Linked DNA regions of Xenopus tropicalis. The protein of the gene in region 4 purifies or fractionates together with the protein of the main gene of each other region. This does not show direct contact. Links are inferred from orthologs where the notes say so. Each region holds a gene or a part of one and is shown on either strand. Other genes may lie near its edges.

The links.
Region 1: the proteins of ddx23 (region 4) and snrpd2 purify together in Homo sapiens (affinity purification with mass spectrometry; 3 studies listed by BioGRID and IntAct, counting the BioPlex papers as one, with this or other methods). This does not show direct contact. The link is inferred for Xenopus tropicalis from reciprocal best matches to the Homo sapiens genes DDX23 and SNRPD2.
Region 2: the proteins of ddx23 (region 4) and snrnp40 purify together in Homo sapiens (affinity purification with mass spectrometry; 3 studies listed by BioGRID and IntAct, counting the BioPlex papers as one, with this or other methods). This does not show direct contact. The link is inferred for Xenopus tropicalis from reciprocal best matches to the Homo sapiens genes DDX23 and SNRNP40.
Region 3: the proteins of ddx23 (region 4) and eftud2 purify together in Homo sapiens (affinity purification with mass spectrometry; 6 studies listed by BioGRID and IntAct, counting the BioPlex papers as one, with this or other methods). This does not show direct contact. The link is inferred for Xenopus tropicalis from reciprocal best matches to the Homo sapiens genes DDX23 and EFTUD2.
Region 5: the proteins of ddx23 (region 4) and tssc4 purify together in Homo sapiens (affinity purification with mass spectrometry; 3 studies listed by BioGRID and IntAct, with this or other methods). This does not show direct contact. The link is inferred for Xenopus tropicalis from reciprocal best matches to the Homo sapiens genes DDX23 and TSSC4.
Region 6: the proteins of ddx23 (region 4) and prpf8 purify together in Homo sapiens (affinity purification with mass spectrometry; 5 studies listed by BioGRID and IntAct, counting the BioPlex papers as one, with this or other methods). This does not show direct contact. The link is inferred for Xenopus tropicalis from reciprocal best matches to the Homo sapiens genes DDX23 and PRPF8.
Region 7: the proteins of ddx23 (region 4) and aar2 purify together in Homo sapiens (affinity purification with mass spectrometry; 3 studies listed by BioGRID and IntAct, counting the BioPlex papers as one, with this or other methods). This does not show direct contact. The link is inferred for Xenopus tropicalis from reciprocal best matches to the Homo sapiens genes DDX23 and AAR2.

What each region holds. Positions count from the first base shown.
Region 1 is NC_030684.2:70,386,208-70,390,352, forward strand, and holds the start of snrpd2 (small nuclear ribonucleoprotein Sm D2), read right to left. Parts: upstream 2,801-4,145; 5' UTR 2,730-2,800; coding exon 2,728-2,729; intron 1-2,727. UniProt on the Homo sapiens protein: Plays a role in pre-mRNA splicing as a core component of the spliceosomal U1, U2, U4 and U5 small nuclear ribonucleoproteins (snRNPs), the building blocks of the spliceosome.
Region 2 is NC_030678.2:79,150,086-79,154,106, reverse strand, and holds the start of snrnp40 (U5 small nuclear ribonucleoprotein 40 kDa protein), read right to left. Parts: upstream 2,833-4,021; 5' UTR 2,761-2,832; coding exon 2,680-2,760; intron 1,003-2,679; coding exon 873-1,002; intron 287-872; coding exon 193-286; intron 1-192. UniProt on the Homo sapiens protein: Required for pre-mRNA splicing as component of the activated spliceosome. Component of the U5 small nuclear ribonucleoprotein (snRNP) complex and the U4/U6-U5 tri-snRNP complex, building blocks of the spliceosome.
Region 3 is NC_030686.2:17,884,203-17,887,743, reverse strand, and holds part of eftud2 (116 kDa U5 small nuclear ribonucleoprotein component), read right to left. Parts: intron 3,407-3,541; coding exon 3,280-3,406; intron 2,020-3,279; coding exon 1,932-2,019; intron 1,820-1,931; coding exon 1,701-1,819; intron 1,485-1,700; coding exon 1,390-1,484; intron 1,313-1,389; coding exon 1,159-1,312; intron 863-1,158; coding exon 755-862; intron 241-754; coding exon 145-240; 3' UTR 1-144. UniProt on the Homo sapiens protein: Required for pre-mRNA splicing as component of the spliceosome, including pre-catalytic, catalytic and post-catalytic spliceosomal complexes. Component of the U5 snRNP and the U4/U6-U5 tri-snRNP complex, a building block of the spliceosome.
Region 4 is NC_030678.2:135,997,350-136,000,890, forward strand, and holds part of ddx23 (probable ATP-dependent RNA helicase DDX23), read right to left. Parts: intron 3,391-3,541; coding exon 3,307-3,390; intron 3,226-3,306; coding exon 3,132-3,225; intron 2,006-3,131; coding exon 1,940-2,005; intron 1-1,939. UniProt on the Homo sapiens protein: Involved in pre-mRNA splicing and its phosphorylated form (by SRPK2) is required for spliceosomal B complex formation.
Region 5 is NC_030680.2:22,340,695-22,344,973, reverse strand, and holds the start of tssc4 (protein TSSC4), read right to left. Parts: upstream 2,802-4,279; 5' UTR 2,629-2,801; exon of another isoform or gene 2,554-2,628; intron 2,531-2,553; exon of another isoform or gene 2,206-2,530; intron 1-2,205. UniProt on the Homo sapiens protein: Protein associated with the U5 snRNP, during its maturation and its post-splicing recycling and which is required for spliceosomal tri-snRNP complex assembly in the nucleus.
Region 6 is NC_030678.2:45,519,527-45,523,610, reverse strand, and holds the start of prpf8 (pre-mRNA-processing-splicing factor 8), read right to left. Parts: upstream 2,842-4,084; 5' UTR 2,611-2,841; intron 2,587-2,610; exon of another isoform or gene 2,492-2,586; intron 1,319-2,491; 5' UTR 1,308-1,318; coding exon 1,208-1,307; intron 686-1,207; coding exon 517-685; intron 208-516; coding exon 43-207; intron 1-42. UniProt on the Homo sapiens protein: Plays a role in pre-mRNA splicing as core component of precatalytic, catalytic and postcatalytic spliceosomal complexes, both of the predominant U2-type spliceosome and the minor U12-type spliceosome.
Region 7 is NC_030686.2:39,757,153-39,761,194, forward strand, and holds the start of aar2 (protein AAR2 homolog), read right to left. Parts: upstream 2,809-4,042; 5' UTR 2,766-2,808; intron 1,629-2,765; 5' UTR 1,627-1,628; coding exon 1,085-1,626; intron 743-1,084; coding exon 525-742; intron 397-524; coding exon 167-396; intron 1-166. UniProt on the Homo sapiens protein: Component of the U5 snRNP complex that is required for spliceosome assembly and for pre-mRNA splicing.

The DNA.
Region 1 (4,145 bases), on a different chromosome or scaffold from region 4:
CTCTTTAGAGAGATTATAAACCATTCATGTCACTATTAGCCCCACCACAGTTTAGATTTCATTAACATACTGGTCTATGCAAGAATTGGGAATATATACAGTGGTGTGAAAAACTATTTGCCCCCTTCCTGATTTCTTATTCTTTTGCATGTTTGTCACACAAAATGTTTCTGATCATCAAACACATTTAACTATTAGTCAAAGATAACACAAGTAAACACAAAATGCAGTTTTTAAATGAGGGTTTTTATTATTTAGGGAGAAAAAAAATCCAAACCTACATGGCCCTGTGTGAAAAAGTAATTGCCCCCTGAACCTAATAACTGGTTGGGCCACCCTTAGCAGCAATAACTGCAATTGAGCGTTTGCGATAACTTGCAACGAGTCTTTTACAGCGCTCTGGAGGAATTTTGGCCCACTCATCTTTGCAGAATTGTTGTAATTCAGCTTTATTTGAGGGTTTTCTAGCATGAACCGCCTTTTTAAGGTCATGCCACAACATCTCAATAGGATTCAGGTCAGGACTTTGACTAGGCCACTCCAAAGTCTTCATTTTGTTTTTCTTCAGCCATTCAGAGGTGGATTTGCTGGTGTGTTTTGGGTCATTGTCCTGCTGCAGCACCCAAGATCGCTTCAGTTTGAGTTGACGAACAGATGACCGGACATTCTCCTTCAGGATTTTTTGGTAGACAGTAGAATTCATGGTTCCATCTATCACAGCAAGCCTTCCAGGTCCTGAAGCAGCAAAACAACCCCAGACCATCACACTACCACCACCATATTTTACGGTTGGTATGATGTTCTTTTTCTGAAATGCTGTGTTACTTTTACGCCAGATGTAACGGGACATGCACCTTCCAAAAAGTTCAACTTTTGTCTCGTCGGTCCACAAGGTATTTTCCCAAAAGTCTTGGCAATCATTGAGATGTTTTTTAGCAAAATTGAGACGAGCTTTAATGTTCTTTTTGCTTAAAAGTGGTTTGCGCCTTGGAAATCTGCCTGCAGGCCGTTTTTGCCCAGTGTCTTTCTTATGGTGGAGTCGTGAACACTGACCTTAATTGAGGCAAGTGAGGCCTGCAGTTCTTTAGATGTTGTCCTGGAGTCTTTTGTGGCCTCTCGGATGAGTTGTCTCTGCGCTCTTGGGGTAATTTTGGTCGGCCGGCCACTCCTGGGAAGGTTCACCACTGTTCCATGTTTTTGCCATTTGTGGTTCGCTGGAGTCCCAAAGCTTTAGAAATGGCTTTATAACCTTTACCAGACTGATAGATCTCAATTACTTTTGTTCTCATTTGTTCCTGAATTTCTTTGGATCTTGGCACGATGTCTAGCTTTTGAGGTGCTTTTGGTCTACTTCTCTGTGTCAGGTAGCTCCTATTTAAGTGATTTCTTGATTGAAACAGGTGTGGCAGTAATCAGGCCTGGGGGTGACTACAGAAATTGAACTCAGGTGTGATAAACCATAGTTAAGTTATTTTTTAACAAGGGGGGCAATCACTTTTTCACACAGGGCCATGTAGATTTGGAGTTTTTTTTTCTCCCTTAATAACGTAAACCTTCATTTAAAAACTGCATTTTGTGTTCAATTATGTTATCTTTGACTAATAGTTAACGGTTTTGATGAGCAGAAACATTTAAGTGTGACAAACATGCAAAAGAATAAGAAATCAGGAAGGGGGCAAATAGTTTTTCACACCACTGTACTAAATCAGATATAACACTATTTTTCTGACAACAAAACGTCTACTGGTGATTTTTTGTTTAATGGAGAATACAATTTTATTAAAAATGGGTTACCCTATTAACTGTCCATTTTGGTACGATTTTAATTACTAGGTTTAATTTTCCCCAAATAATCATGTTTAAAGCTGTTTTTACCCATCGCTATCTACTTGCTGCCTCCATGTTTTTAAAGGAGTGCCCCATAGTCAAAAACATTACTGAGCATGTGTGAAGTCCCACCCCTTATTGCTAGAGCAATTAAGCCTTAATAAACTAACAAAAAAGTCTGGGCTGAATGTGTTAAAAGGCATATTTTTCAGTCATATGCATTTTTTAAACACAAATTAGTGTTTAAGTTGACCACACAGATCTCTATAATCGTGCAAGCACATAAAGCTGCAGAATATTTCCTTTGTAGAAACTTGTCATGTGGGTCCAACCAGGAAAGATATGGAATTGATTAGAAATTGATTGAAAACATTTAGAACCATTGAAAATGTTTAAATCGTGTATACTGAATAGTTGCTTAGTATTAAAAGACACATATCGGATTTGAATTGGGCTAATAGAACCCGCACTTAGGTTGGGGGAAACAGTACCATTTTGTCCAAAAAAATGCTCATAGCGATGTGCCACCCACACCCGGATGATGGAGAACTTGCTGCAGGTAGCCATGTTATTAACATGCCTGTATATAGTGAGCAAGTGTCACATGCAATTGCATAATGAGAAAACCCGGGGAGCTGTTTATACACACGACCTGGTGCTGGTAGCCTGCAAGGGAAGCTTTTTGGCACTGCCATCTCTGCCACAGTAATTAAATCACAGAACTACACAGCATTTTCTAAGTGCAGGCAAGTTCCGGCTAGTACAATCGCATGCTCTGCTACATAGAGGCATTCGTTCTAAGCGTCAATCAGCTAAACTTAAGTAGATACAAAAGGCTAGTTTTTTTCCTTATTTTTAAGTATTTAAAGCTGGGCTGAAGATATTCCACCAGTTACTCACATCTTTCTTTTTGTCTTTCCTTTCCCTTCTCACGTTTTCCCGGCGTGTAGAACGCTTCCTTTGAAGGGCCACTTCCGCTTCCGGGCCACTTTAGCGGCTAGTTCCTGCTTGATTTGGTTAAGCCTGTAGAAACGTGCCCACGTGATCGACACGAAACAAGTTCCCTCCAGTTTGCTACGCAGAGGGGCAGCGGCGTAATCTGACAGAGAAAAGGCGGGGTGGATTAGTTAACAAAGAGGGCGCATCTAGTTCCTAGAGTGGTTATAGGACAAGGCAAATCTTATTCCAATATTGTTCCAGTATGTAAGGCAACGCTCTGTGCTGGGAATTCAGTCGCTAAAGAGCGCAATAAGAACAGTTCCATGTTTCATTTTGACCATGTTTTCTCAGATTGTGCAATTGGAGGGATATACCAGTAGGTGGCGCAATTGTTACATAATAATTATAATAGACGCTTATAACATGCTTAATAACTTTGAAACTGAAAACAAATCTGAATTGCAAAAGCATTTGGAAGACCGACCAGAAAATGTGTACACTTTTTAGTGTCCTATTGTGTAAAATAACTGAATGGATAGCTTTACTGCGTAGCAGATTTAAAGGTGTTCTTCACCTTTGAATTAACTTTTAGTATGATATAGAGCAGTGTTCCCCAAACAGTAGCTTGCGAGCAACATGTTGCTCTCCAACCCCTTGGATGTTGCTCCCAGTGGCCTCAAACCAGGTGCTCATTTTTGAATTTCTGGTAAAGGAGGCATGTTTTGCAGCCATAAAAAACAAGTATAATGCCAAACAGAACCTTCTGTAGGCTGCCAGTCCACATGGGGGCTATCAAATAGCCAATGATAGCTCTCATTGGCACCTCCAGGAACCTTTTTCATGCTTGTGTTGCTCCCAAACACTTTTTCCACTTGAATGTGGCTCACAGGTATGAAAGGTTGGGGATCCCTGATGTAGAGTGTAATATTCTGAGACAATTTGCAATTGGTCTTAATTTTTTATTTGTAGTATTTTTTTTAGTTCTTTCACTTTTTGTTCATCAGCTATCTTAGAGCTAGAGTCCAGATTACCTTAGCGACCAGGTAGCAATTTGAATGAAAGGGTGGTAAATAAATAGGAGAGGACCTGAATAGAAAAACAAGTTATAAAAAGTAACAATAACAATAAAACTGTATGCTCACCAAGCAATAGTTTTTTGGCTGCTGGGGTCAGTGACCCCTATTTGAAAGCTGGAAAGAGTTAGAAGAAAATAAAAAAATGATTCAAAACTATAAGAAATAATGAATAGGAATAGGCAATTCTATAACACACTAAAAGTTAAAGGAACAGTAACACCAAAAAATGAAAGTGTATAAAAATAATTAATATATTATGTACTATTGCTCTGCACTGGTAAAAGTTGTGTGTTTTCTTCATAA
Region 2 (4,021 bases), about 57 Mb from region 4:
AACAGCACTGACACATTTAAGGAAAATCAGGCATAAACCAAAGATATTACAGTGTCTGGCATCCTGGTCTTTGCAATTTTACAGAAATTAGTATGCATAATTTAGTACCACCAATGTGTAATACACAGGATAGTTTTCAGTACCCGTAAAACAAAAATGACTACATAAGCCCCAGACCAGACAATTACCTACCTCCCGTCTGTATTGTAATGAAGCTCCATCACTGCTCCACTATGTCCTTTCAAAGTTGCATAATTGTCACAGTCGCCATATACATTCCATAGCACTACAAGGCAAGTCAAAATAAACTCACTCAATAACTTCACAATTTAAGGGTAAAATACATAGCTTCATTTTTGGATTCAAATTCTAATTGTTATTAATGTACAATGCAGCATAAAACTAAAGTTTAAATGGTTTCATATTCCTTGTAAATTCCAGATTCAGACGGTGTCAGTTTTCTTGCAAATCAGTTAAATACCTACAAAGAAGTTCATGTGTGCTGCTAAATTTACTTGCTTTGTTTAATAGAATAAGTTACCTGCTGGGCAAACCTGCCAAAACATGGTAGCTTATTTAATTTGATTAAATATTACAAGAAAAGAAAAAATAAAATAACACATACCTGCATAACTTTCTTAATCTGATCAGTTGTAACATTCATAATTAATGTTACAGCTTGTATAGTGTGATAATGTGCTAAAAAGGAGCTAAAAAGCATAACAAAATTACAGGAGGTGCAGATTAATCCTTAATTAGTAACGTATAGATGGCCAATTAATTGTGTGATTCTACAGATGAAAAACAACATCTGCTACTAAGTCAAACAGCTGCAAAATACAAAGCGTATAAAACAAGTGAAAGTTGCTTACAGATAAGTCTGTCAAATCCTGCAGAAGACAAAGTTACACCATTGGGATGAAATTTGCAGCAATAAACTTCTCCTTCATGACCAGAAAGCAGCATGATGGGAGCCTGAAGACTGGATGATCTTGGGGGACCCTGCAGTCAACAAGTTCAGAGAATTAAACATCAAAGTAGATTCAGTTCCATTTATTACCTAAAGAAATATTTTATTCACCTTAAATTTTTAGTATTCTATAAATTACCATTTCTATTCTATTTTAAAGGGGCACTGACACATTCCTATAACAGTAAGGAACTTGTCAGTATTACCCATAATGCAGCACAACACTACTGCTTTTATTGAAGATTTACCCCAAATCTCCTCCAGCCCAGTCACACTTACCACAGGCAGAGTTAAAGGAACAGTAACACCAAAAAATGAAAGTGTATAAAAGTAATTACAATATAATGTACTGTTGCCCTGCATTGCTACAACTGGTGTGTTTCCCTCAGAAAGACTACTATAGTTTATATAAGTAAGTTGCTGTGTAGCCATGGGGGCAACCATTCAAAGGAGAAAAGGCACAGGTTACTTAGCAGATAACAGATAAACCCCCATTATATGGGGCTGATCTACTAGTTATCTGCTACATAACCTGTGCCTTTTCTCCTTTTTTCAAGCTTGAAAGGCTGCCCCCATGGTTACACAGCAGCTTATTTATATAGTAGCTTTTCTGTAGCAAAAACACCAGTTTTTTGCAGAGCAACAGCACATTATATTTTAATTACTTTAAAACACTTTAATTTTTTGATGTTACTGTTCCTTTAAGCCAGCAGTCTGGATAAAGAGATGCTCCCTGCAGACATGCGGGCTGTGGGTGGTGCCATCATTCTATAGGCAGGAATACAAATGTAAACTGTACTCCAGCCGTTGGAAGGATTGCATGGAGGCCAGTGTGACTGACAGACAACTCGTTAAAGTAACATTCTGCGTGTAGTAGTGTTGGGATGGGGTAAGTGTGTTTGGGCTGGGGGAAGCCCAACCAAGTGCTGCATTGTCAGTAATACTGACACGTTCCACGTCAGTATTCTTTTAACTACTCTTTGGCATATTTTCTCCCCTTAAAATTCAGTTTTAGTATTATTGTTATATTGCCTATTGTTTATCAGTCTATTGAGATCCTTCCCTAATTATTTGCCATTTTGAGTTCCAATCTACTTCTTGGTTGCTAGGAGAATTGAGGTCTAAACAAACAAACCTTAGAGGCGCAGAAGAAATAATCAAACTAAAACATGAGAAACAGATATACAGACTAAGGTCATGCTGTCTACACTATACTAAAGGACATTTTAAAACTGAACTACCCCTTTCAGAAAAAAGGCATGAAAATGGGTTAAGAGAAAGTCCCATAGCAGTAAAAATACTAGCTTTTTATTTACTATTTATAACTTTTGGAAATAAAGTTTTTTTTTTAAAAAAGAAAACTTTAACTTGATTACCTTCATTAAAACAACTAGAAAGTCCCATAAACGAAAAACCACAACCCATTAGCGTAGCAAAGTGTAATCACAAGGTCCTTAATGGCTGTGTGGGGTGCACAAGACGAGTCAATACTATAAGTAATTATACCCCTACCTATGTTCAGACGTTAGAGCCTTATGATTACACTTTTTAGCTTATTCTTATACCGTCTAAATCTTTTAATAAAGGAAATAATGGTACGATTTAGATTATGTCTATAATTTTACCTAAAGTCCAAGTCAAATATGCCCAAGGAATGAATGGTTACACTTATCCAAGCCAACCATTTCATTCAAATTCTTCATTCTTACCGAAACCACCAACTCGTTCCTCGGTTTTTTTGCCTGTACCGGCACCAACTCCATTCCCTTCCGCTTGTTTTGCTCGATCATGTTTCCAAGAACTCCTTCCAGCTTGTCTAACACTCACAAACCCAGCCACACTGTAAGACTCGCTTGCGTTCCCACTCAGCAGCGCAGGATGCTCACGCAATTATCCTGCGCAGTCACTACCTGATAAAGATTATAGTGGTGATTGGCTCTAAGACAATCATGTGACCTTGAAAGCCTTTAAGGGGCGGAACAGAGCTTGCGCCGATTTTGTCCATTAGTAATGACGTACGATGGGCGGGGTTGCGCGTATAAGGATGTTTAAGCAACTGGGCTGATACAGGAGAAAGAGAAAATGACGTAGAAGTTGTTGTAATTGGTTAAATGTGATCGGCCGGGGAGGAGACAGCGAAATGGCGGCCCATCAAAGGTAAAATATATAACAAGTCAGTTAGAAGAAGATTAATAGGCTATTACATAAACCATTATTAACGCAGCTTGATATTTCTCTGCAGGTGATTCAATTTTTTTAGGCACATCACATGTAATTTTGTCTACTCCAGTAAAAGGGGCTGTTGGCTTTAGGTGCCTTACATGCTGTTAGCGCACACTGAAGGATTCATAGGCTGGACATGCCTTCACTTTCTCTTCTATATGGAGCATATCTATTATAGTGTGTAAGTCGACATCATTGGTGGTGATGTGGCCCTTAGCAACCAATCAGATCTTTGCTTTGGATTTCTAACTTTTAGGTGACTGCTAAACTCTTAATTGCTGATTGTTTGCTATGTGCAACATCACTGGTGATATTGGCTTATACGCTAGTAAATAGGCTAAGGATTAAGGCCATATGTTATTCTGCACATAGAGCCACATTTACAAGCGTATTTGTAAATTTAGAGAGGTGACAGACGGGTATATTAGTCGCCCCGCAGCAATTCTTTGTTGCTGCGGGCAACTAATCTCCCTGCTATGCCATCCCACCAGCAGGAATGTAAATCGCCGGTGGGATGGCATATGCGTCACTACGATTTTCTGAAGTCGCCTTAAGTTGCCTTAAGAGGAAACTTCGGGTGACTTCCTTAGCCCTATGTGTTGTAGCAGCCATGATTACTATAAGGTATTACAAATCTATTGTCACAGTGACCCAGTTACACAGTGTATGGGTTTGAACCTGCAGTGAAAAAGAATGAAAGTGTCCCTGCCCTATGTTATGCGTATTTATCTCATTATTCAGAGACTTACGAAATATACATATTTGTATATATATCTTTATGTGACTCTAATTTTATATGCAATTGTTTTTTTTTTTTTTTTTTTTTTT
Region 3 (3,541 bases), on a different chromosome or scaffold from region 4:
CTAACCCCGCTGGCAGTGGTTTAACAACTGTAACTCATGTCTGGTTTGACGACAGAAGTACCAGGTAGCTGTTGTGTGAGAGTATGTGGCCTTATGGAATGAGGGAGAGTACAATCACGGGGGTTGGATGGACACATGTCCCTTTTACATAGGATAATTTAGCACCACATCCTGTTTCGCCAGTTCCAGCAACATAGGATCGTCGAAAAATTTGCTGATACTCACATCCTCGCTTAGGCCCTACGCATGGTAAAGAAATAATGTAAGAGGTTAAATGCAGAAGGGGGCGAGGCACTCCTTTATACAAGAACAGAGCATGAAGCTGTCTCTGCAGCAGTATTAACAGGAAAGAGAAATGCAACTCTGGGAAAAGAACTGGCCTAATTCCTAAATACAAAAGATGAATGTGTAACAGTTTGCAGCAGCCAGGAAGCTGAGCAGACTAAGTGAGCAAAACATTTGTTTCGAGTTCAGATGTAGCACTATCTGAGCCCACGGAAGATTTTAAAAAGTCCAATTTCTTAAATGACAAACTGGCATGACATTATTCCTTTCATTTGTATATTTCCCCACAACCTATGCTTCTCCAGGTGCTACAGCTGCTTATGAAGCCACGGAGAATTGCAGTTCCTCAGAAAAGCCACCAATTTACTCATAAACACACTGTTTAGGATTGAAATTGCTTATGAAAAGAAACCCCAAACAGTCTTTGAACAACCTGCCCTCTCTTCCTTCTCAGCCACATAGAACTTACCTTCCTACGCCTTGTCTTTATCATGAACTCCCTGGCAAGGTGTGGTGCTGGTTGTGGTTCCAAGGGCCGTATAATGATGCTTTTATCCAGAGGGTCTCCAGGAACAATCTACCAAAAGATAGCAGGCAAGTTAAACAGCAAACTGGCACAGTGCATTATGAAAATACTAGCGCCAGAACTAGGGGTAGGCACCTTCCCAAAGCACAGTGGGGGGTGCAGAAACAGAAAATGGGTAATGAACTATCAATAACTTCTACTTTCCCTTCCTTTGCAAGATGTTCTATGTCAGTATGCCACTAACTGTCAGAAAGCAGGAAATGGCGTGGTAAAATCACGGGGGTGCCACTATTTCAAACCATATCCAAGTTGATTTCCCAGGATATCCCAGATGGTTAGATTTGTACCTGCCAGTGATGGAAGACAGACAAGGAGAAGGCTTGTCCCTGGGTGTGTGTTCGCAGGTCAGTTTCAAACCCAAATGAATCTATTGCTGGGATGAAGGCTTTGATTGTGTAAAGAGGCGACCCAGGAATTGGGGCGTCCTGAGTCACATGCCCTCTGTAGAAAATGAAATATATTTAGAGTATGTTATGGGACAATACTGTTGGTCAGGAAGCGGAATCTCAATTACTCACCTTCTTCGGGCCAAAACAGTATAAACAGCAGAGACACAGTCTGCAGGGGCTTGTACTTCCACAAAATAATAGGGCTCCATTAGACGAGGAGTTGCCTGTATTTACAGAGGAAAGTACTTTGTGTTTAAGAGAGAAGAACCAAGGCACATGTCTTATATAAAGAGACGGTATGGTATAGACAGGAAATACATATATACATGAAGGTGCTTGTTTGTTATAGTGGGGGATACAGTTTTAGGGCACAGAGACACTTCTGTATTATATATAAAGGAACATGTGTATTGAGTCAATGTGGTGACAAAGGATGTTACCATTAGGAAGGCGGAGTAAACCACTCTTCGGGCTGTGGGGATGATCTGTCCCCCACCACGGTGTAGGGGCTCCTGTGCGATAACAGCATCCAAGATCTTAAATTTGACATTGCGGATCACTGAGGAGCAAAGGAGAGCAGAAAATCAGCAATTCCCTGTAGTGCCAAACTGTAGAATGTTTCCAATGTTACACTGTGACGGAACCAGAGAAAGGTGCAGCCAGATACTCACACTCATCACACAACGGACCCTCTCTTGTTCCCCACTGGAATCCCTGTACAATGCTGTCTTTGACTGAACTCAGCAACGCCTTATCCACCTATTAGGGCACAACGGAGAATTTCATTAACATGCAAGTTGATGGGCAGTGCACATAAGCAGCTCTAGCTGATAGATATAGAGATATAGATCCCTGTAGCAAGCTACTTCTGCATTTACACTCTAGGGTAATGTCGCTGCTAGAGCACTGGGGCAAATATGGATGTAGGTTGAGGTTAATTGTTAATCACTGCGTTGTAATAAAATATTTTAAGGGGAACTAAAGCTTAACTAAAGAATTAGGCTAAAAATGTTGTACATTTTGGTTAGGGCTTCTGTAGCAGCCCAAGCGACCACAGCCCTTTAGCATTTTTAGGGTTTAGTTCTCCTTTAATCAGGACCTGCTTTTCTTCCTCAACCAGAATTGTGAGCATTAAAAAAAATCTTAAAAGGGAGCCGGTCTTTATATTTTGGCTGCTGGCTTGTTTCTCCCAGTGGCCGGAAATGCAAACCTGGCTGGCAGAAGTGGTACCTGGAAGAAGAGCACTAGACATTCATAAGAGAGGCTTTGTCTGTGTCAATACCTTGCTAGTTTGGCACAAAAATGTTTGGCCAGGGAAGGCAGCTCTGATTTCATCTGCACTCCCTGGAACTCAATTGCAGAAATAATTCTGAGAGCAGAATGAAAGTCTTTGTCTAAAAGGAAACCTGAATTTAAATCACCAGCTGAGTTCTGGTACTATAGGCAACATCTGCACCCCAATCAACTGATACAAAAACCAGGTGGATCATACTAGACTACTGCAGTATAACCTAAAGAGGTTACATCAGCCAATCATGAAGCTGTAATCACTTAAGCCAGTGGTCTCCAACCTTTTTCACCAGTGAGCCACATTCAAATGTAAAACAAAACAAACATGCAAAAGGTTCCTGGGGGTGCCAAATAAGGGCTGTGATTGGCAATTGGTAACATCTATGTGGACTGGCAGCCTAAAGGAGACTCAGTTTGGCAGTAATCATGGTTTTGATGCAACTAAAACTTGCTTTCAAGCCTAGAATTTAAAAATAAGCTCCTGCTTTGAGGGCACTGGGAGCAACATCAAAAGGGTTGGTGAGCAACATGTTGCTACTGAGCCACTGGTTGGGGATCACTGCCTTAACCCATAGGTGCACTGGCAGAAGTCATTTTATCAGTGTTCTTTTGCCCATGGAAAGCTAAAACTTATGCAGGTGCTTTTACACTAATAGGTAAGGAAAGCCTGGAGGATAAAGGATGAGTACAAGAACAAACAATCTCCTCTACTGCACAAGTGCCACCTACCTCGGAGGGGAGCGTGTCATCAACCAAAATATTTGGTCCAGTTGTGTCTGGTCCAAAAGCCCAAATAGAACGGGCAGCAAGCAAATCCCAGTCATATTTGGTCTGAAAAAACTCTCCCAGCTTCTTCCTGAAGAGGAAAAGATATAGAGTTCACACACAGCTTTAACAATCACGAGAGGCAATATTTCAGGTGCTGTCAATATACAGAAACTAAACATATACATTACAGCATCAAGAACCAAAATTTGCAGAATCTTCTATG
Region 4 (3,541 bases):
ACATGCCCGTTGGACGTGAATGCAGCATGCTGAAAGATTTCTGAAATACTTTTTTGTTGAAATACATTGACATTTGTCGACTGGGCAGGTTTAAAAATACAGTTAGGAAGAGGAGCTCTACAGCACGCTGATGTGGCCCTTGTAATGATGGCCTGTATGCCATCAAGGTGAGTGTATCTGGGAAAGATCCGCTCATTTGGCAACCTCACCAAATGAGCAAATCATTCAATGTATGGCCAGCTATAGCATCCTCCACAGAAGAATCGGAAACAATACCTTGTTCCCTTCATATCTTTCATGTTACATCTTAATTTGAGGGATAATCTATACTATGGCCAGCACTGGTTTGCTAGAAAGAGTTTTAACCATAGTTTTAGACAAATAGAGCAAGCCGGGAAGTATGTGCTCTGGTGGATGCCTTGAGTTGTGCAAAGAAAATTAGCTAAAAAGAACACACAAAAGGGACCATGAGAAGGGAAGGAAAAAATTTGAGAGCAACATTTTTCTTTAAATGAGACAAAGCATAGCATAAAATCCACCCAATCTTGTAGGCCAAAGTAAATAATATATGGTGCTGGTTTCACTTTGGGCTAAAAATTATTATCTTTAAAAATGGCCCCTATATTGGAGCCCCCACAAATCTGCTACAAAAAGGGACTATGTTTCAAATAAGGGGTGGGGGCATATTCTAACAGTCCCTACCTGAAGCACAGTAACAGAGGGATACCCAATCACAGTTCTGAAGTTACATAAGACAGGCTTCAGTTCCCTATCTGGTAAGATGTGCTGACAATTGGTTCATATTCTGCAGTGTGCCGAGTGCCGTGAGCAACTTTGCAGAGCCTGCAAATGGAGGCAGCAGGAAGTGGAACACATGGGCAGGACTAGCAGGGTTTTTAGAGAAATTTCCAAAAAATAAGCCCAAAACACAACTATTCTAAGCACAATCCTTCTATACATAAAGTAGCATAATGCACTTGCGCGTTCTTTTTTTACACAATATTTAGCCGTTCATTTCCTAACCATATCACACAAGCAATTACACACAAATAATGCACAAAAACACAAAAGTAATAAACATTTTCCCCCTCTGGGTTAGAACAGTTAGTGCAGCAACAAAGCATATATGTATATGGAAATTGATGGCAACTGATATATTTTTGCTTGGTGCACAAAATTATTAAAATCCAAACATTCTGGACAATAGATCTCCAATCTGTAAATAAGACTCCAAATGAAATATACATTTAGGAAAAGTAGGCAAGCAGAACACTGTACTTAAGGCGGCAAACTGCTATCACCACCCACTTTTTATGGCTGAAGATCGAAATGTGTGGTTTTAAAGGAGAAAGAAAGGTAAAGTCACTTGGGGGTGCCAAAATGTTAGCCCCCCCCCCAAGTGACTTTAATTGCCTACCTTTTAGCCAGGGCTGGTGCCCCTGCTCGGAGAGAACAGCACCAGCCCGGGGTAGCAGCGATCGATTCCTCCTTCCTGGTTCCCTGCGCGCGCATGTGCAGTAGAGTGAAAAGCCGAACTTTAACAGAGAAGTCGTCTTTTCACTATACTGCGCATGTGCCGACTGCTGGCATTTTCGGAAGGGAAGCAGGAAGGAGGAAGCGCTGAGCTACAGGTACCCTGGGCTGGTGCTGTTTTCTTTGAACAGGGGCACCAGCCCGGGGTACAAGGTAAGCGATTAAAGTCACTTGGGGGTGCCTAACATTTTGGCACCCCCAAGTGACTTTGCCTTTCCTTCTCCTTTGAAAGTTTAAGGAATAGTCTCATTTGTCCAACACCCATACGTTTCCCATACCTCCACATAAAGGGGGGTGCATGTATCAGGTGGCCAAACTTTTAACAAATGCTTTTTTTGCTCAGCAACCTGGTATTCCAGGTTGAAATCAAATTATCCGATTCTTAAAAAGAACCCAGATTTCATACCTTGGACTCTGCCTCCTCCTCTTTTTTCTTCTTCGCTAGCAGTTCCTCTAGTGACAAAGGATTCACCTGGAAAACAGAGTCAAACACTATTAAACTAAAATCTAATAACCATATTTCATATGACCTGCTAAATAAACCTTCATATTTTGTAATTAGTAAATAAAAATTACAAATGTAAAAACTTTCAGCATTTTTTCTGCAAAAGCCAGAACTTGTTCATAAAGATAATAAAGAAAAACTGTATTTGCCAGCTGATAATGTAGAATTATATATACAGGTATGCGATCAGTTATTCAGAAATCCACTATTCAGAAAACTCAGAATTTAGTGAAGGCCAAATCCCACAGACTCAATTTTAATAAAATAATTTTAAAGCATATTTAACAAATTTTTCTCTGTAATGACAAAACAGTACCTTGTACTAACTAAGATATAATAAATCCTTATTGGTGGTAAAGCAATCTTATTGGGTTAATGTAACATTTAACCGATTTTTAGTAGACTTAAGGCATGAAGATTCAAATTTACGAAAGGACCCCTTATCCGGTAAACTCCAACCAAGTCCAAGCATTCTGAATCACAGGCCCCATACCTTTACAGAAATATGTGCAAGGCCAGGAAAACCATAATAAAAATATAGATGAACACATCTATGACTATCTACAATATTTTTTTTAAATAATTAACCATGGCTTACACTGGCAATGCAGTGGCAGAACTTGACTGGCACTACACTGGTCACCCAATGCCACCACAATTTTTTTTCATGGTCAAAACCCTATTGCCACAAGACTGCAGTCTTTGGAAATCAAAATTGCACAAAAGCACCTTGCATTTCAGCCTTAAGGCCTGTCGCTTTATCTATACATTCTGATCCAACTCCTGTACATTTTATCAATTATCAATTACTATCAATTTTGGAGTTCAAGCAAAAGGAAAATTAACTGCATTAGCTATGCATATTGACAGTGTTTTAGTACTGTCACACCTCATTAGTGGTGCAAAGTAGAATGCATTTAAACTTTAATTCTATATTCAACATCCCACACCATACATGGACTGAAATGCACACCCTAAGCTTAAACAGAATATTTTTGGAAGACAATATGTACTAGGTTTGAAGCCTTAGAAACCTTAGTGCCAATATTCCCTAAAGGCTTCACATACATATCGAACTATAATCACATCTCACCTTTGACTTTTTGTCTGTCTGCTCTTCTTCCTCCACTTCTTTTTTTACTTCCTTCTTTACTTTGGTTTCTTTTCCTCTGTTGGGGGACACACTTCTGAGAGAAATAAATACAGAAGGTTAGGAACTGGTAAGGATCAAAGGATAATAAAAACAATGAATAACATTTTGACTTTACCTAGAACGCTTTCTTTCTTTGTCTCGTCTGTGGGTATCTTTCTCTCTTTCCCGATCCTTCTTTCGATCTTTCTGTCTTCGGTCCCTATGATTGGCAAAGTAAAGCATATAGTTAAAAAATAAATAAATAAAAGTCACACAAAATGACCAATTCTGATGTATATATATTAGTTTACTAGTGAAGAAGTTTAATGCATCAACATCTTGCATATTTGAAGACTATTTAGTCTTTTCAA
Region 5 (4,279 bases), on a different chromosome or scaffold from region 4:
GTTCATTTTAACTGGTGTTCAAGTTCTAACAAAAGCCTCTGCTTGGAATAAAAGCCTGCGGTAGCTAGGATTTCATTATATCCACTGAAACAGACATATATCCCACATAACCAGTCCTCACTCACATCAAGTGTCAGCAAGTTGTCTCCTGTCAACTACGTGCCAACCCTAGCAAGGTCTGCCAGTAAGTTTTACATGAAGAGCCTAACATTAGCTACACGGCCATTTCTTCCAAATAAACGGCCCTCACATCGAGTCCCAACATGTCCGAAATTCATAACATCATCATCATATTTTACATTACATGCAGACTAATATAGAAGCTACCATGGAAGAATTTTTTACTTTGGCAAATCTCTGCCATCCCGAAGCAGCACCAGAGCCACTAGAAGTTGGCACTAGGGGTGTCCACCCATTTTCATACCTTAGAATCTATAAAGGTAAATTCATAGGCACCAATAAATGATTAATAGTTGCAAGGGTGCCTATTAATATGTCCCACATAGCACCTCCCTTGCTAACTGCCAAGTAGATTCTCCTGACAAAAACCACATTCATTTATACCAATTCAATTAAATGGCCACCTCTTTGCAATGGCAGGCAGGCCTGAAACCCCAGCCAGGCAGTATACAGAGGGTGAACTGTAGGCCTACAGACACATAGATGTCCCATAACAGGCAAATGAGTAACTATTTTAGAATTTAAAGAACACCTTAATTTGATCACTAAAAAGGTGTAATGGAATGTTATGGTGTAAAACACTAAAGCGAGGAGTCACTTAACGAACACAAAATATAAATTCATGCCACTGACTGTATTTATAAGAGAGTAAATCATGGGAACATGCCAGCCTACCCAGCAATGCTACTGCATTCATACCTCCCAACATTTGAAAAGCAGAAGGAGGGACAGAAATGTCTGGCGCGCAAGCCAACATTTTTAGGCCACGCCCACTTTATGGCCACGCCCCCCCCAAACAGGCCCATTTTACAAAACCACACCTGAAAAGCATAACATACACAAAGTGCACCAGAAGACAGACACGGTGGCCCCAATCATTTTATGACATATTGTGGCCCTAAGGATTTCATTATGCACTGTGGCACCTGTATTTAATGACAAACTCATGACCAGACATTGGTAGCCAGGTGTTATGTTTTGCATTGGCGCTAGAGCAGGGACCCCCTAAAACATTGCTGGTCCTCCCGCAGTGTCCCCCTACTACGGGCTGCTCCCCACTGCAGCATCCTCCCCAACATCCTTCAGCTGCCCCCAGCATCCACCCAACATCCTTCAGCTCCTCCCAGCGTCCTACCCAACATCCTTCAGCTCCCCCCAAAATCCTTCAGCTCCCCCCAAAATCCTCCAGCTCCCCCCAACATCCTCCACAATATCCTTCAGCTCCCCCAACATCCTCCAGCTCCCCCCAGCATCCTCCAGCTGCCTCCCAGGGTCCTCCAGCTGCCCCTAACCTTCCTCCAGTGTCCTCCCCAGCGTCAACCTGCTTTCTGTGGCACCCCCTGCTCCTACCACCACCAGCTTCCTCCGGCTGTGCCCCAGGGCTCTTCTTCTCCTCCTCGTGACGTCACATGCACGTCTCTTGAGTGCCGCAGCTGCTGCACTGTGAATGGCTTTATGTTAAAACTGAAGTGAGCGGCGCAGAAGCTGTGGCGCTAAGGGGAGACGTGCGTGTGGCGTCACGGGAGCAGAGACCTTTAAAAGTGGGACAGATCTGCAGCTATCCGGGACAGCGGGACAGGGTGGCAAAATCGGGACTGTCCCGCATAAAGCGGGACAGTTGGGAGGTATGACTGCATTTTCCAATATGAAAGAGAAATTCAGACAATGTATAAATAATGAAGGAATCACCATTCCCAAGAGTTAGGACTAGCAGTGCAGTCAGAGACAGGGCACATCAACATTAATAGAAAGATCTCTAATAATAAGAAATGCAATTCCATCATCCAATCACACGTCTGAATGTATTCTAAGGACAGTCATTGGGTGCTTCTAATTCCCCGCCCCCTTGATATTCCCGCCACCCAAGTGAGGTGCAGAACTGTACAACATGTCATTTCCATTACTGAGCCCAGCAGGGATGCTCCTTCTAGTGTAAAATCCCTTCCCTATGCCTTTCTTGGCATCTCTAACCAAACAGGAGAATATTCCATTGCATATGGCCGAATTGTGGGACCCAGTCTGTACCTTATATTTTCCTGCTTACTACATCAATGTCCAACTCACTACCCTCAAGTTGAGATTTATTTATAACTCCCACCCCTATTGGGGTGATACCGGAAGTCACAGTGGAACCCCAGAATGAAGGCAGCACCGATAGATACACTCAAAATATTTAACAAACGTTGCACATTATATGTCCTTCCCAGCCAGCCAGGCAAGGTGCGGGCTCATGAAGCTATGCCTGAAGCACAAATGCGGGACGGTATTAATGGATGCGCGTCCCAGAACACTTCCGGTATGGCGGTACCAAGGAAGGAGCGCAGGGATATCCCTAATCGGATCGCTACATCCACAGGGCCGCTGCCGCCTTACACTGCATCATGTGACTGTCTCCCTGGGCCTAACGCTATAGTCACCATTCTCCCATTCACACTAGCGGGGCCTCACAGGTTGGCAGCGCTGCTCTCTATCGCTCTCAGCTCAGCTATAATGGTTTCTCTCTTCTCCGCCTCCTCCATACCGCAAACTAACAAGCCATAAGGTTTTCCCGGGCTTCAATCTGCCTCCTCCCAGCATGCACCTCGCTAATACGCGGAAGTGCTAAACAACAATGAGTGTGCGAGGTTGGGGGCGGCGCTTCAGAACGCCCTCTAGTGGGGTGTTCTTCCAACTGCATGTGTGTGTTGCAAACGAGGCTAAAGGCGCGAATGGGGAAAGTTGTATTTGTGTAATTGGAAAATAAAGAAATTTCTATGAAAGTTTATGTACTTTTTTCCCCTCTCAAATTGGCATTTAGCAGTGCTTTTACATGATCTCTGCTTAATGGTTGCACCTAGAATAACCCATTCCATAGGGATCCCAGGTTACTATATAAGCAGGCAATACAGTGTCTATGGGGATATTTATGATTTACTACATTGCCCCAAATGACATCTCAGCAAACATGTAGCCTGCATCATAGCCATGGGCAGAGAATTGCAATTGTGTTTCCAATTACTATAGGAAGGGCTGCCATCAGTGGGGTAAAGGGGTGCTGCAATCAGAGGCCCTGTGGCAGAGGGGGCTCCAGAAGAAGGATTCACTGGTCATTAAAGGGCAGGGGGAGTGGGTAGGGTTTAGGTGGATTGTGGGCAAGATTTTACTCTAATGGGATGTGACTGGGGTTGATCAGGGCCTTGGTTATGCATGTGCTGCCCATTATTCTTATTTTTCCATTGGTGACTTGTTGGCGGGGCCCACAGTCTAGGTCCCTAAGTGCCCAGTAGGTAAATAATTGTGTGCCGCCTGGGTGGGTACTAGTGCCTTGTGATTTGTAATGGTATCCATGACTTCTGGGTATTGTGTAAGAAAAGAAGCTGAGAACCAAGTTGATTATAAAGGGGGCCATACACTGTAAGATCCGCTTGTTGGCAAGGTCTAAAGGACAAATATCGGCAACTGAAATTGGCCTGTGTATGAGGCCTGTGAAGCAGTTGAATAATCTTGTCCAATACAGTGAAGCCAGGGGTGTATCTTGGGATCTCTGGACACCCCCATACCACCCATGGACCATAGGGGCTGTGAATGGGGAATGTGGGCTGCTTTTTACTGGGTCCCCTGTCTCTTTGGGTCCCTCTTTGGCCATGGCGAAAGCTGAGTCTCCTCTCCATAAAGTTAAGTTACTAAGGTTACTAAGGTAACCTATGCCACTATCATCACCACTTGCCCAGGCTTTCTGCCCTTCTTCTTTGGCACCTGTGAAGCAGTTGAATAATCTTGTCCAATACAGTGAAGCCAGGGGTGTACCTTGGGATCTCTGGACACCCCCATACCACCCATGGGCCATAGGGGCTGTGAATGGGGAATGTCAGCTGCTTTTTACTGGGTCCCCTGTCTCTTTGGGTCCCTCTTTGGCCATGGGGAAAGCTGAGTCTCCTCTCCATAAAGTTAGGTTACTAAGGTAACCTATGCCACTATCATCACCACTTGCCCAGGCTTTCTGCCCTTCTTCTTTGGCACTGGAAAGGTTGCCCAGCAGCCAGCTAAATGCAACAAGGGGTCCACTGGCCACTTTTATCTGTTTGACACCCCTGATAGCACCGAGGGCAGTTTGGTGTGC
Region 6 (4,084 bases), about 90 Mb from region 4:
CAGAGCTGTTTAATTTACCATATTATTACAAGATGCACTTACCCCCACTGTGCTATGTAGACAGGCTCAATGACCCATGGAATCTCATTAACAAATGAGATGGCTCCTGTTATATGATACAGCACAGGGACATCACGGATCTGCTCCCAAGGCATGGGCATGTTTTCAAGTAACTTTAAGACAGCATGTGGCATATACTTCAATGCTCTACAAACAAAAACAAACCAGGATACACTTAACCATAAAACAGAACTTTGGAAATTTAAAATGTTAAATAAAATCACAGCATGAGGTTAACTATTACAATTTAAAAAAATGTGCAAAGGCAATTTATGTTTAGTTAATGTGGTACTGCAATACTCCAATCCTTACACTCCACTGAGTTTTGCTTGTTTTACCTGCTAAACAACTGCACCTTGCTTCTGCAGGCTTTTTTTTTTTTAATTTACACTGGACTACTGTCTGTCAGCTTAGGTTAGTGCCTTGCTGGTATGTTGCCGAAATTAATTCTCTCACCCAAGGTAAACTCTCTTATCATGTCGGAACTTTCTGTTGGTCATGTCTCCATGATCACGAATAATTTTGCGAACATGTTCTGGAGGCATATCTTCTTTCTGTGCATCCACAAACCCAAATTTTCTTTTCTCTGAATAGCGTTTTGCCTGTAGCTGCTGCCATTTTCGTGCTGGAATCAAAATAAGTGAAACATGGATGAGACAACTATACAGTTTAAAAAAAATATGACATGAATAAGCTATCCAATTTACTACCATACTGGTGTTAAACATGAAGCAAAAACGCAAACATAATCCTGCATAATTAAGAAAATTGGGCAAAAAAGAAAGGTGGTTTCTTTACTATGATCAGCAAGCAAAGATATTTCAAGCTTAATTTCTCAGTATGTACTTAACTTATCCTCAAAATTTAAAAAAGAAAAAACCTTCTTCCCTCTTTAATATATTTGTACTACTGTTACCCAACATTCAGCTAAACTGAACACTCACACAACTTTAAAATGATAAAGCATACTGCAACAATTTTTTGTTCACAGAAGATGCAATTCTTTTAGTCAGATTTAGTTTAGTATGTGACATTCAGCCGAGTTCATCAATAATTACATTTTGAGCAACGACACATGAAGCCCTCCAAGTATGCAAGGACTTTGAAAGAGCATTTGGTTTTTACAACAAATTGAAGAAGGTTGCACCTTTTTCCTGCAGCTTCTCTTCAGACATGTAGTCCGGTGTTCCACCTGGGGGGCCGGGCATTGGCGGTGCCTGTGGTCTATATGGAAACACCCCGGCCATGGTGTCTCAAACTGGAAAAAAATAGAAATAGCAGCACTTAATTTTATCTAATCAAATTGCTTTTAAGTTACGAATGATTAAATGTTTAACACAACCATAAAGAGAAAATGTTTCTCCCTTACTTTAGGCTAGTGTACAGCATTAAGCAGGCAGTGAACTTGTGTAGCTGGACTGCACAAATAACCAACTGAAGGCTGTGTAACATTTTCTATTCAGAATAAAGTGTTAATGCCATATCCGGGATTAATGTTTTTTTAACTGTGGGGGTTTCTTGGAGCTGTGGCAGGGAAGTTAGCATGAACACCACTAAGGGTAAATTGCAGCAGTTTGGGAGCCATAGTTACTTCATGTGTCTGTTCATTCGCTGCCAGTGTTTATGCCAGTGCCAGACATAGGCCCCATGTGTAGGGCACGCTACACAACGATTACTGGTTGATTGTTGTAGACCATTTATATTTACTACAAATAGAAGAATACCACCTAGCATCCCATAGCAAAGTATCATTCCTTTGTTGGCTTTTGGGGAAAAACAGTAACTTTAGGCTTAGAATTCTTCATACAGCTTTCTGCTCATAACAGATACCACAACTGCACAACCAGTGAACCGTTTTTCTTACATAAGCTTGAAAAGTGTTAATGTGGAAGAGGTTCAGATTTTTACACATTCAGTGAGTTTCCTCTGCCTCAGCCAAGTTTTATCTTTCAGTCACAAAAACCAACCCATGGCATCTAAACATATATGGTAGTCACTACTGTATTCTATCTTGGGGGACACTGGTTCTTTTCCAGAAGTTTTATATACTGTAATACAAAGCATCAAACACCTTGTGTGATTTGTAAGTATCTGTAGTTAAAGGCAGTGCTTGTCCCTATAGGCACCCCAGTTCTAACCCTTGCAACAATATTGCAGGTCAGATCAGCTGGTTTCTGCTACATTGTACGCTGCTGCCTCCGATTGATGAAGCAGACTAAAACATTCTATACTGGTGCACTTACGTAAACAAAAAACTTTAATCATCCTAATTCTAAGCAACTTTTCAATTTACGCTTTTCGTCTGCACTAAACAATTTTGGGTTGCAGATCGCGTTTACATGAATTCAAGCTAAGTACATGGCCCGGCATTCTCAGTAAACCTCGCAGCAATTCTACATGAACAACCCGGATAGAAACTATGAATACACACAACATATCCGGACGCAAGCCTTGTTGGGCTTTCGAAATGCACGCCTGATTGCCACTTCTTTCTCGCAGCCAATGCAAAGCCTCCAAGCACCCTGTCCCCACTATACGACGCACACGCACCTTTTCTGTCCGAATCTCGGTCTTAAGCCTCTCGCTCCCGCCTCTTCACCAGAACCGCAATGGCCGCCGGACGCACAGCGCACGATAGGCACAGTAACCCGGATGTACAAGAGAAGAAGCAAAGAGAGGGAGTAGAAACCGGAAATAGTCGATTTGGTGACCCTTCACAAAGACCAATAAGAAGAGCGTATTGGACCGTTCGGTGTGACGTATTGGCTACGCGGCGGAAATACGTGTGGCGCCATATTCTCGCGGGAGTATTGTGAGCTCTCGTTTATATCCCACTTAACACGTGATCAGGGTTTTATTTTATTATTAAAGCAATGAATTAAAATAAAATGCAAAAAAAGAGTTAAAGAGTTTGTAATTAGTCAAATAGTTCCACTAGCAAGCTTTCAGACTGGGCTTAGGGTGTCTTCAACTACGCGACATATTGGGCCTTCGCAGCGGGACACCGCAGTGGTTTGGGAGCCATTGTTACTTCCTGTCCCCAAACAGGGCTTGCACACAATACTTCCTGCTGGTTTGTTGCAGCACGATGTTTGGGTGACAAAAGGCTCCAAAAATCCATCAGTTCCGTATTTAGGTGACAATTAGCTGATTGCACAGGTACAGGTAAGGTTAATGGCTGCACTGAGAGGAATAGGAAGAGAACGGCCTTTAGTTGCTTGCTAACTGAGCCACTAATTGCTTTAATGAGGAAACACCTGGAGTTGCGGTGCCATGAACAATGCTGTGTAATGGCGGTATGTTTACAATGCACACAAGAGCATTTCCTAGTCCCTAAATCCCGATTAATTTACTGGCAAAAGTGCGGGTGGGAGTGGTTTTTTTTTAACCCTAAAATGCTTAGGATGTAAAAGTATTCATACAGGCACTTCTGTGAGGGGTTCTCCATACATTTGTGTTTGGGATCAGTTAGCTTAAAGGGGTAATTCACCTTTAATTCACTTTTAATGTGATGTAGACATTGAGGCTGACCTTGTGTGTGTCATCAATATTATCCCTGCGCGTTCCTCAGGTTTCTTAATCAAAGCATAAATGAGCATATTTCTCTCATTGTAACATAAACTGGCACCATATGTGCAAATGAGCTGCCAGTGCCTCCAACGGTTGCTGGGTATCTCCTTGCCCAGTAGGATCATCTCTACTGCTGCTGTGGGAGAGGGAACTGTTATGCAATATTGAAGTTAGACTGAAGTTTAGCTGATGAGCCCCAGTGTAGGTGCATTGCTCTATCTTTGACCATGAGGGACTCCTCATGACCCAAGCTGATTACACCCTACACAACTGCAGAGGGCCCTTATGCTACATGCCACTGAGCGTCCCAGTCATTTAGCCAATTGTCATCCTATTTATTGATGTGTTTTTAGCAAGCCTCTTTATTTCATTTTTGGCATAGAACGTCTTTGGCTTTGTGGCAGCTCCTGCAATCTGTTATTTAGCAAAGATGTCAGTGGTGTAACTATAGAGG
Region 7 (4,042 bases), on a different chromosome or scaffold from region 4:
GGGAGTTGTAGCCCAAAAACATCAGAAATAGCACAGGTTACCCGATCTTTTTATAGACTGCAAATGACTAAATTATGACTTCCAGTTAAAATACAAGCTATGAGGTATAAACTGAACATTCCTGTCCCACACAGAAGAATGTAGATTGTAAAAAAGTGTGAAGTACCTGCAGAGTACTGGTAAGGAAATTGCTCTGGGATACAATGTCAACAAAGAAGTCAGTGGGTACTTGTGCCAGCTGGTGGTATAGGACTGATATAGTTTCCATGTACAGTTCTGGGTGCTGCAGGGAGAAATTCTCTGCCCGGCACAAAAGGTTCAGTATTTTCTTCCACTGCTCAAATGCTTCATACACATTCCCAAGTACAAAGCAGACAAAGGAGAACTGCAGCTCAGCTGGAAGGGAAAGAGTTAAAGTCAAGATAAGTAAGGTAAGTCCCTACTGGGCAAAACCCACCTCCCACCTGTACTACTATGCCACTATGCACATAAACAGGGTTAAAGTAGAAAGCAGTTGGACTTACCAAGCAGCTCCAAGGGTTGCCCTGGGTAGTGTGTATTCAGCAACTGCCCCAGGGCATAGGAAAGGTCCAAGCTGTGCTGGGTGATCTCAGTAGGGGTGGCATTATCAGGGTACGTCTTGTCAGGAATCAGGCTAAACCGAATCTCTGTTCCCTCTTTCTGCTTCATTTGGGGCAGCCTGGCCATGCCCTCCTTATAGCTTTGGCACACACTGTCATATCTGGGAAGAGAACAAACCTTGTAAAGCACTGCCTATATCTGTGGCGCTATAGCAATACAGTACAAAGCCAATGCTATATTTTATGGAGAATAGTAAACATATGTAAAAACAAATTAAAAGTTGGTATATAGCAGGCAGCCAAGTGCCACAGACCTAATGTTTGGATAAAAAAAATAATAAAGTTTCTTTATTCTAAAACATACAAATGCCTATACCCAGTCTGCATACATTCCCACAAATACACACTATAATAGGCACACCATTTCTAATAGGACACTTATCAAATTGGTAAATTCCCACCCTCCTGACAGCGCTGTTAGTTCCCCCTGGCTTTTCCCATACCTGGGCAGATTATGTTGGACTCGGTCGGCAGTGTGGGTCATGGGTTCCGTAGGAAGGACCTCAGGAAAGGAGAAGATGGTGCCACATTTCGGCTGTAGCCTGAACATGGACTCTTTCTTGATGTGATTACTGAGCGACACCCAGCGACGCATGCTCTGATAAGGATATGGCCCCAGGAAGGAATCTAAGGATTGAAGCTCCTCCCTTAGTTTTTCGGCTTCTTCTTGAGGGGCTACGACCATCTCTTCCTCCTGGGGGTCCCAGCGGAAAAGACGCAGCTCTCTCTGTTGCAAATAGAGGAACATGCTGCTGCGCGGGCTCATGTCTCCAAGGCCCCCTCCTTTACCAACCACGTTGTAGTGCATGAAATGAACACCCGGGGGCACCATTTTTACACCTCTAAATCGAGGTCCCACTTGCCAGCTATTATAGTCTATGCCAAATTCAGAGCCTTCTGGTACCCCCAATATCACCAGGGTTGCACCTTCAAAGAACAGCTGCCGGGCAAGTTCAGGATCCATGTCTGTTGAAGGGGTGTCCATCTCTATAAAAGGAAGTTGTTAAAGGTTATTCATTAATTGGTTTTCTAACGCTTTGTATTCTCAAACATTACCAGTTTATCTTTGGGGGGTATATAGACATGTTTTAGGGTTATGGACACAGGGCACGGTGGCTGTCCCAGCAACAGGGACACAGAGTCCTGGGACACAGGGAACCCACTTCCTGTTACACTCCCCAGAAACAATGCTGTTTTGCCTAAACATGCTCATACTGGGAGGGAGCTCCCAGTGAGGGTGGCCATGTTTGGTGACATGCAATAACTGAATCTCCTGCCTCGCTCATTATACCTATGCCTGTGACATCACACTCCTGTGCATAAATTAGAGAGCTGGGATTCTACAGCTTAGGGTCCCAACATGGCCATCAATATAGAGGGGGGGGGGCAAGTGGTGGGTGTTGAGTAAAGTTTGTCTAAAGTTGATGATTTCAGAGCAGGCAAGGATTCCTATATAGAGCTTTCTGCTCCCCCAGAGTTTCCCTTCTTCTCTTGCCTCTGCTCAGTAATATGCAGAACCACCCCCAACCCTTTCTCTGGCTTTAGGGCTCATACTCACAAGTGGTTTTGCTTGTGAGTCACAGATACAGGGACAGCAGAACCCAGAGTGACAGATACAGGGACAGCAGATCCCCAGAGTGACAGATACAGGGACAGCAGATCCCCAGAGTGACAGATACAGGGACAGCAGATCCCCAGAGTGACAGATACAGGGACAGCAGATCCCCCACAGAGTCACAGATACAGGGACAGCAGATCCCCCACAGAGTCACAGATACAGGGACAGCAGATCCCCCACAGAGTCACAGATACAGGGACAGCAGATCCCCAGAGTGACAGATACAGGGCCAGCAGATCCCCAGAGTGACAGATACAGGGACAGCAGATCCCCAGAGTCACAGATACAGGGACAGCAGATCCCCAGAGTGACAGATACAGGGACAGCAGATCCCCAGAGTGACAGATACAGGGACAGCAGATCCCCAGAGAGTGACAGATACAGGGACAGCAGATCCCCAGAGTGACAGATACAGGGACAGCAGATCCCCCGTTAGACAGGGAGGAAGGACACACTAGTTGCCAGACTGATACCCCTGACACAATAAACCCACCCTCACTACATACCTTTAGTACTGTAACAGCCTGTAGGCAGAACAGCTCACATTCGTACCCGGAAGCAGAAAAGCTTTCCCTGTGCAGCACAATAGCCCTCCCCCTGGAAACCCGACCCTATGAAATAATGGTTCCTATAGTTAACTGTCCGCAACATTTCCAAATCCCTGTGTTCTGGAACATTATAGAGCCTGAGCGCCTCAGACTGAGAGGCACAACTAGAAGGGAAGCAGTAAGCACTGCTGTAAAGGTCGAATTGTTCTAATAAAAACACAGTTCCAGGGGGACACCGGCACTGAAGGGTTAATACCACCTTCTGGGGGGGGGGGGGGGAACTGGAACTTATGGGAGGAGGACACAACTCCCCTTCAGGGAGTTTTCTATTTATTTTACTTTATTTTATTTGACTTTTTATTGTTTATATTGCATCTCTCCTTTTCCTTACAGGAGATCTTGGGCAGGAATCATGGTTCAGCCCCCAGACATGTATGGAGCTCTAGAGAAGGGCAGGAGCTCTGGTTAAGTCCCTTCAGCAACTGGGGGAAGGGGAGCTGCTCACCCCCCCCCCCTCACTTCACGCAGGTTGCAGGTTCCCCCTATGGACTGGGACCCTGGGGCTACTGCTGGCAGAGATAGCCAGCATCCTTGGGCTACATGGGCAGGATTTGGTGCTCCGCTGCTGTATGTGGTTTGGCAGCGCAGGAGGGTGGGAGCTAGTGATGTGTCGGTCAAGAAATCCTCGACTCGAACTTGCCCACTCCCAACCCTAACCTGCCCACTCCCAACCCTAACCTTCCCAACCCTAACCTGCCCACTCCCAACCCTAACCTGCCCACTCCCAACCCTAACCTGCCCACTCCCAGCCCTAACCTGCTCACTCCCAGCCCTAACCTGCCCACTTCCAACCCTAACCCTGCCCGACCCGGCTTCTTCCCTCTGTAGACCCGCACCTGCCCCACATGTGCCTATAAATTAGAGAGCCGGAAGAGGAAGCCGGCAGTGTAAGGTCACAGGTGGGGAAGGTGAGTGCAACCCACAATTGATGTGCCAAGGTTTGGCCGAACCCACCAGGAATCCTATTACCACACAGGTTTCTTTTCTTGATTGCACCCAGTGTTGCGCTAGACTTCGGTCTCCATTCCTGAGCCTCCCTGGGTACGCAAGCTAGCTCATTCACTGGCCTCCTTGCAGGGTCTTGACAGACTCCCTAGATAAACTGTTTGCTTCCCAGTCTCCTACAGGTTTTTTGGGCAAGCGCAAACCCCCAGCCATTTCTATTCTTCCAGACT